2 linked regions of the Styela clava genome follow. The protein of the gene in region 2 interacts with the protein of the main gene of each other region in a biochemical or structural test. Links are inferred from orthologs where the notes say so. Each region holds a gene or a part of one and is shown on either strand. Other genes may lie near its edges.

The links.
Region 1: the proteins of mutS protein homolog 4-like (region 2) and mutS protein homolog 5-like form a complex in vitro, tested with the Homo sapiens proteins (2 studies listed by BioGRID). The link is inferred for Styela clava from reciprocal best matches to the Homo sapiens genes MSH4 and MSH5.

Annotation. Positions count from the first base shown.
Region 1 is NC_135259.1:8,594,191-8,598,125, reverse strand, and holds the start of mutS protein homolog 5-like, read right to left. Parts: upstream 2,517-3,935; 5' UTR 2,372-2,516; coding exon 2,221-2,371; intron 1,714-2,220; coding exon 1,589-1,713; intron 888-1,588; coding exon 764-887; intron 338-763; coding exon 212-337; intron 1-211.
Region 2 is NC_135250.1:4,578,051-4,581,985, forward strand, and holds the start of mutS protein homolog 4-like, read right to left. Parts: upstream 2,540-3,935; 5' UTR 2,487-2,539; coding exon 2,243-2,486; intron 1,879-2,242; coding exon 1,660-1,878; intron 1,223-1,659; coding exon 1,108-1,222; intron 542-1,107; coding exon 410-541; intron 1-409. Other genes in the region: GLIPR1-like protein 1, read right to left, coding at 3,257-3,365, 3,654-3,719. UniProt on the Homo sapiens protein: Involved in meiotic recombination. Required for reciprocal recombination and proper segregation of homologous chromosomes at meiosis.

The sequences.
Region 1 (3,935 bases), on a different chromosome or scaffold from region 2:
TTTAAGTCATTACTTCATTTGAAAAAAGAGGTAATCAGAATACCTATCTATGCCTATATATACATATCCAAAAATTGGTTATATACAACATAAATATTTAATCAATCATTTCGAATCGGAGCATAACATTTGATTTATTTTCAAATAATCTTCTGTAAGACATAGTACGGTAGTTCGAAATCAACATACGAGTACCGTTACAGCCTCATACCTGATGAGTTCAATACTCCTTCCACCTCATCATCTGCTGTTCCAGTTAATTTTTTTAACAAATTAATGAATCTTTCATCTTGCTTGGCACTGGTCACTATCGTAGAAGGATGAAGTTCATCCACCACTGAAAATTAAATATCTCCTCAAACATGGTTAACAATGACAATATTATATAAAGCGACAAGGACAAAACCTCATATAATAAATATTTACAGATTTAAACCAATGCTACCACTTCGAGATTCATCTTCAAATTGGGGATGTGCAAACAATTCAGTTGAATTGTATTCAACAATGTTTAGTGCTTTTTTAAAAGATATTGAGATGAACATCATCAAAGTTATGCAAAATGAAATGCAGGAGAGATTTATGAAATACCAAACTTTTTCAATTTTATATCCCATGATAAATCTTTTAATTTTGTGCATACGGTTCCTACTGTATAAAAAATATATGAATCATCTTTCTATACCTTATAATATATACCCATATATATTTTTCCAAGCTTTCAAAAGCAAATTGTGAATTGTGAACAGTTCGAAAAACTCACATCTCCTTGGTAATGTAAAAGAATCAGTTTCTAGTGTATCCAGCAGTATATGAACTATTGCAGAATCCGAATCATAATATGCTGCTCCAAGTCGACCCCCATACCACAAGATTGTCATAATAATCTTAAAACATGAAAAAAAGGAAGATTAAAAATGTAAGAGGTTATGTGTTGGGTCTGATGAATAGTGCTACAAGCTTTTGTCTACCATCTATGTTAAAATCATTATTGAGAGTGCATATATCGTTTTGGTGGTAACAGATTGACAACGAAGAGTCGTATTTGCAAGCCATATTACAGTATTACCTTTGTGCAGCATTGTTAATACTTCAATGGACAGGCTAAATTTTTAAGCAAATCTTCCCAACAAAACAAAAAACTTATTGTGAATAGGTTAACGACTCTTACAACGAGAATATCGGTCAGAGACCAAAGACTTATCGATCGAAAGACAGGGGATCCCCCCAAACAGCGCTCTTACTCCATAGTGACACCTTGTGTCCCATCACTAATAATTAATATCTCGCTAATTATACGACATAATTCATCCAAAATCAATAGGCTTCTGGTACGACATATGATGAATGCACATGCAAAATCTGGAGCAGATTCAATCTCGCTTTCGTTAGATATCGCGTGCATCTAACAGACAGACAGACAGACAGACAAATACCTATCAACATACTTACCGATTAAAATCGATAGGTAACAAATATATTTATTTCAAAAACGCAATATAAAACATCTTGACTGCAAAACCAATCTGATAATCTGAAGACCATATGTCTGTATGTAAGCAGAAGGGAAAATAAGAGAGAACTAAACCTCTGGCTGGTCTTCATCAGTTGGTGAATTTTCTCCAGTGGCATGATGAGTAACATGAGACACAATGTCAGATTCCTGAATATCTGATGATGACAATGATGATGGTCGATTTGTTGATGGTGAAACTAGAAAAACAAACTATGTCAGAATGTGCCAGCGGTATTATAGGACCGCAATTACAGTAAAATTATCTAACAATTAAAAAAAATGAAATGCAAGTGAGATTTCCAAAATACAAAACTTTTTCAATTTGATATCCCAAGACTAAATCTACTAATTTTGCGCATAGCCTATGGTTTCAAATTATATCAGTATATTGAGAAGATGCAAAGTCATCTATCTTTACCTTATGTAGGCTATGTTTTATCCAAGTTATTAAAAGCAAGATGTCAATATGACATTACTAATCCTTGCCCCAGTATGGTAACCTGTTAATATGTTTATTTGTTTTTGTTCTGCTAAGATTTAGATATCGGATTTTTATAACTATATAACATATATATCAGTATATATATATATATATATATATATATTTCTGCTGTCAGAACAGGTTAAACATTTCAGCATTTAGATGAGATAATAAATCAGACACAGCTGGACAACTAGTCCATGTCTGCATGTAGACTTTGTACCTGAAGAGGTGGCTTCAATACTCTGATAATTTTGTGTTCCATGTGAAGCATTGTTTATAGATCGAGAAAGAACATTTTGAAAAGGACTCGACAAATGACGATGACATAAAGAAACATTGCTCGAGGGATCTGACAAATATCCCGTGTCCATATCGAAGTACAGAAGTACCGGTACCGCTGTACTGAAGTAATGATAAAGCTGTACTGCTGGATAAGAAAAAAATATGGTAACGGCTTGGTGAACCAGACTAATGGACTATCTGACTATGCAGATGCATGCTGTCGTCTGCAACTACCGGCATTTCCTGATTAAAATGACTAACGTGTTATTATACTCATCTGAAGTATCGAAAATAACGAACGAAAGATGTAAACATAGGACGACGGAAGTTTCAAATAATGCATTTTCGTCGTGACGTCAATGTTACGTTACGACGACGATCGAGCGTCTTATCTTCACGCAACGACGTGATTACGTCATCCGCATCGGGAGCCTCTTTCTCTCTGTGCGTCGCGGTTACGCAGTGAAGAAAATGACTGTCCGAAGTTAGGGCAGTGAAGGATAACGGTCAGATGGCAAGAAATATCGATTATTTCAATAGTAAAAATAGTCCAATTGAACCGAAATTTGCAGGGAATGTAAATTACCGCACGAATGTTTTACCGAGCAATTTTGGCACCGTTTGGACAATAAATGGCCGAGTTATTGACGAAAATATAATAATTTTGTCCGAAGTTAGGCGCTTTTACGGTATCACACCTCGGTGGAATTCTGCAGTAGCATCAATACTGCAATAACCAGACAACTGAATAATGCTAGAATGAGTTGTTAATTCCATTTACTTGGACGTCTTAAACAAGAGCCGCTGAATTGCGTTTCGTTGACCATTTAATTTTCACTTTGACGGATGGCGATGTGTGTCACAAGAACATCAAGTTGCCATTTCGTCTCTGACTGGGCAATACACATATTTCACCTAGGTCTGTAGGTTGCTCCACATAAAGTTAATATTTATCGTATTTGCTACATACAGAGATGCAGGTACTTGTTGTACCACGGAGAATTATATACGGTAGTTGTACTATGAGTACTGTACATAATACCGATATAATATACTTTATATTTCTTGGTTATTTAGCAGCGGTGTTTCGCAAATACGATGTTTCTATAAGGCCCCAACCAAATAGTTTGGGAAAAACACCACGCCACATTTTAAAATGAAAAATTAGTAATTATCCAGTTAGGGTTAAGCATCTGATAATTTCCAGCGCAATCTACATCTCCAGCGCAATCTGCATCTCCAGCGCTAACTCACAACTAGATAATTACCGCATATTTTTGGGAAGACTGTTGTGGGAGTTTTTTGGCGGAAGCTTTCCACAAAAGATTCCGCAAATACAATACAAATATTTGCCCATAATTTGCAAGTTTGTATACTTTTACTCCCTTGTATCTAAAACAATTTTGAGATGAACGGGGTAAATAGGATAACATTTACATATTTATCCCGGGGAGATGAAATTCGATAAAGCGAATATATTTACCGGTATGTGGAGTTTGAGCTCGTGTTGTGTGTGTGGACCATGGGGATGAAACTAGTCTAGAAAGCCAAGCCCACATTAATAAAACAAACAAAGTTATTCGCGTTACGAGTTTCTGCAGCTTCACGCTCCATTGCGGTCACTTGATTTGCTCGGAGATTGGTGAAGACGGT
Region 2 (3,935 bases):
GTAATTCGAGTCTGAATCGGAGTTGAATGTTCTCATTGGAGTCGGATCCGGAAATTACCACACGAAGACAATTTTCTTCTTCACGCGGTGTCGGTATTGGATTATAAATTTCTCCGACTCCCGCATCCATGGTTATTATCGGTACAACATTCACAATCTCTTCTTCATATAAATATACATACATATTTAGGCAAAATAATTCGCTTAAAGCAAGGTCAGAAGTTCAGAAGTAATACCGATTCATATCTGAGCAAATTTAAGGGCTTACACTGAGAATAACTGGTCACGTTTTGGACACAGAATTCATCAAAAGAAACGATACTAAAATTTTCGATAGATTGAAATGATAAACAAACGGGTTTCTAAAGTTCTTTCTGAAGTTATATAAAAATATACAAAATCACGATACTTTGCCAATCCTCTCCCTTCCACTATCGCTACGATATTCGATGACTCTGTGATCCTAGGTGTGTCTGTTACGTCTGATCTGGCACTACGCGGTGTTCGCCTGCTGTGTCCTGGTGTTATTGGCGTACTTGAGCTGTTGCCAATACCCCAATTAGTTATGAATTAATTTAAAGTTAGGAAAAATTTATTCGTTGGCTTGGGTAAGCTACTGTACGCTTCAAAGTAGAAACTCAGTTGTCAGAGTAAAGTTTCTTATGAAGAAAATATATATATATAAAAAAAAGATTTTAATAAAGACTATGAAATGATAAAATAATGGGTAACAGATTTACAAGTTGTAAGCCATTGGGTTTTTCAGATCTTTGAGTTTGGATTAAAATTCAATCCATCGCACCCGTGGAACAGCTTGTTGTAAGTTGTCAATTCGACTCAATTGTTATGAAAGAAGTTCATTTTTACAGAGATTTAAATACGGTATAACAAATTGGATTAGCGTTTGTTGTTCTGCATTTTCAATTTCACGGGCTCAAGACTTCGAGTCAAAACTATAATTGATATTTAGACTGAAAAAAGCGTCTGGAGAACTATGTTTTGGGAAGTTGAACTAGGAGTCAATTTTTTGACATCCCAGAGTCGGAGCCGGATTCGGGTTTCAAATTGCAAGGAGTCGAAGTTTAGAATGAAATAATATAATTTAACCTGGAAGCCCCAGACAAAGTAGAATCAACAGCTCTAGGTGTTGTGTGTGAGCTGCTCCTTCCTGGTGTTAACTTTGGGGTTTTGCGAGGCGCTCGCCCCGTCGGAAGCTGGAAAACTTCAAAAAATATTTTAAATTCATGCAATTTTCAATCAAGTACAGAAAAGGGAAGAAATAAAATGAATTAAAAATGGTCAAGCCATACAAGCGGTTTTATACTGCACGTGAGCTTTAAATAGGCTACGTCATTTTTCTATATATTCGATTTGCACTCAAAAAATTTCAGTCCAAAAAATGAAATCCATCCATTTGGTATAATTCTAGCGAAAGGGTGGTTAATCCTACAAATTAGTATATGTCACGAAACGGCAAAATTCAATACCGGCCAATTCAGCCGTAAATATGCCGTTATTACTTCATCTACCTCATGTATGTGCTCAAGAAACCCAGATCTCCAGAATGAAAGACCCTGTTTTGGTCTTGTTCTATAAAAAGGGGAGTTTGCACTACAAATTAGTATTTGAACTGGAATTGGGACTGCAACCTTAACATACCGTGGGATGAATCGCTGCTTGTGCTTGGCCTCGACAATGCTGTATTCTTTGTATTCTTTGGTGTTCGCATACATTCTTTCACACGTAAAGTCGAGTTTTCCGCGGACGCAAATAGTGTATCAGAGTTTGATGTCTTTTCCGTACTTCTGCCTCTCTGCTCGCCAGCGATCGAACTGATACCAGATATGTTTGCAACAGTGGCAATAGAAGAGTCATGGCCTGAAAATATTATTATGCCGTTTGTAAAATTCCACGTATAAAATTACGAATATCTTTTTTGGGTGCTAAAGATTTACAAGAAATTAAATTTCAATTGAATTGGCTTTTTGAAAACACACGCCCCCTAAATATAAACGATGCTTGTACAAGTTTTGTCTTAATCCTGAACAAAATTGCAAAATAACATAAGCGATAAACTCATGTTAGAATAAAATGTACTTTGTTTATGCTGGACCGAGACCAACCAGACTAGACCCTAATATAGCCTACAACGAACAACAATACCAGTCTATTCTAGTCTGCTCAGTATACAGGTACATTATAGGCTAGTTCCGTTGTCAACGTTTGATCAGTAAAATTTTACTTGGACGAACTTGCTGGTTCCAGACATTCTGTTGCCTTGACATCAAAGGAGACCGTACGTCGTCACTCAGAGGTGAAGCATCAAAAATACCGGTAAAATTCCCCGATGTATTACCCTTACTTCTCTGCTGATGAGATGTAACACTGAGCTCATTTGCGCTACTACTTGAAAAATACGATGTATTTGGTGATTCAAGTAAGCCATACTTGTACTTTGGTTTCCTTGAATTATCGTAATTCGCCATTACGCCATCGCCATCAGGGAAATTTCAACTCACTGAAACTGTCTCGACGTAAACCAAAGCAAGAACGTCGTCTGCGTCGATTCGACCTTTCGTTCCGGTTGAGCACATTACTGACCCCTTCGTTCACATTTTAAAGGAAGTGTAAGGAGTCGCTTAGTATAAATAAATTTACATTTTAGCAGTCGACACGGAAACCAAAGAGTGTACAAAATGCTAACAAATATGTCAGTGTACCAGAGTGTACATATATTGTCGAAAAAAACAAATTAATGTGGAAAGTGTTTGATCATATGACAAACGCTGGTCGTTCGTCTGGCAACGAGACCTAAGTCGAGTAGTATTAAAATAGTTTACACCTGGCAGAAAGGATCGATACTACTTGAGTTGTTTGTCGGTTCCTTGCAACTATCGCAAATAAAGCCGCCACTACCTTTCATATAAAATTGCTATTGGATTTCATTCTATATTATTCACCGGATGTGCGTTATGAATGAAAATCTTGAAAACGGAAATAGGCTTTGGAACTATGCTTTTAACGGGGTTTTTATCAAACTCGCATACCCTTCCACTTTAATTACAAAGTTTTTTCTAAATCTCAATTCTTGCTATACAGTCACTTCACAATTTTCCCAAAAATTGACATTTTGGAGACATACTAATGAAGATATATATATGCACGTATAATAAAAAGTTACCCAACAGATACCACGGCAAGAAACTAAAATGTGAATAACAATTTACAATAAAGTCAATAAAAACACTCTTCAATACTAAGTTGGAGAAACACACAGCTTGTCAATACACACGGAAGCATCGTCTGGACATTGAGAGCAGGAGTATCCCACCAAATATGGCAAAATTTCAATTCCACCTTCGTAACTGAAAATAAATTATTATAATGAATAAAAATACCGACAATTAAATAAATAAGAGGCAACAATAAAGCAATGCTCAAATTTATAGACAAGAAGCTCAAATGACTGACCGCGGTACCGGTAGCCTGCCCATGTGACGGACAACTGGACAAGGCAAAGTTACAAACTTTGGACTACTGCCTCCAATTTGAACAATGTGACTCCAACGTTTTAAATATGCTTTGATTCTTGCAGCGGTTATGTGTTATGTTTTGAAACTCATGCTATTCGTGCCACAGACTATTACACTTACTATTCATTTCCTGCAGGTCCGTAGATACAAGCAACCAATGTCGACCCATATCCTCCTTCAATATCCCTGTTGATATAAAAATTTAGGTCGCGTCATGGAACATTCTAGGATACTCCCGAAGTATGTGAACCAAGACGGAGGACACCGGAACGTAGTATGTGTACCAGGTTAGGGTTAGGGCATCATTTTATTTCAATTTTTCTTATTTTAGTTCTATTACGAGTTCGGGGACTAGCCAGGTGACTCCCGTAGAATTTGTATCTGAAATTATGGCCTAGCCCT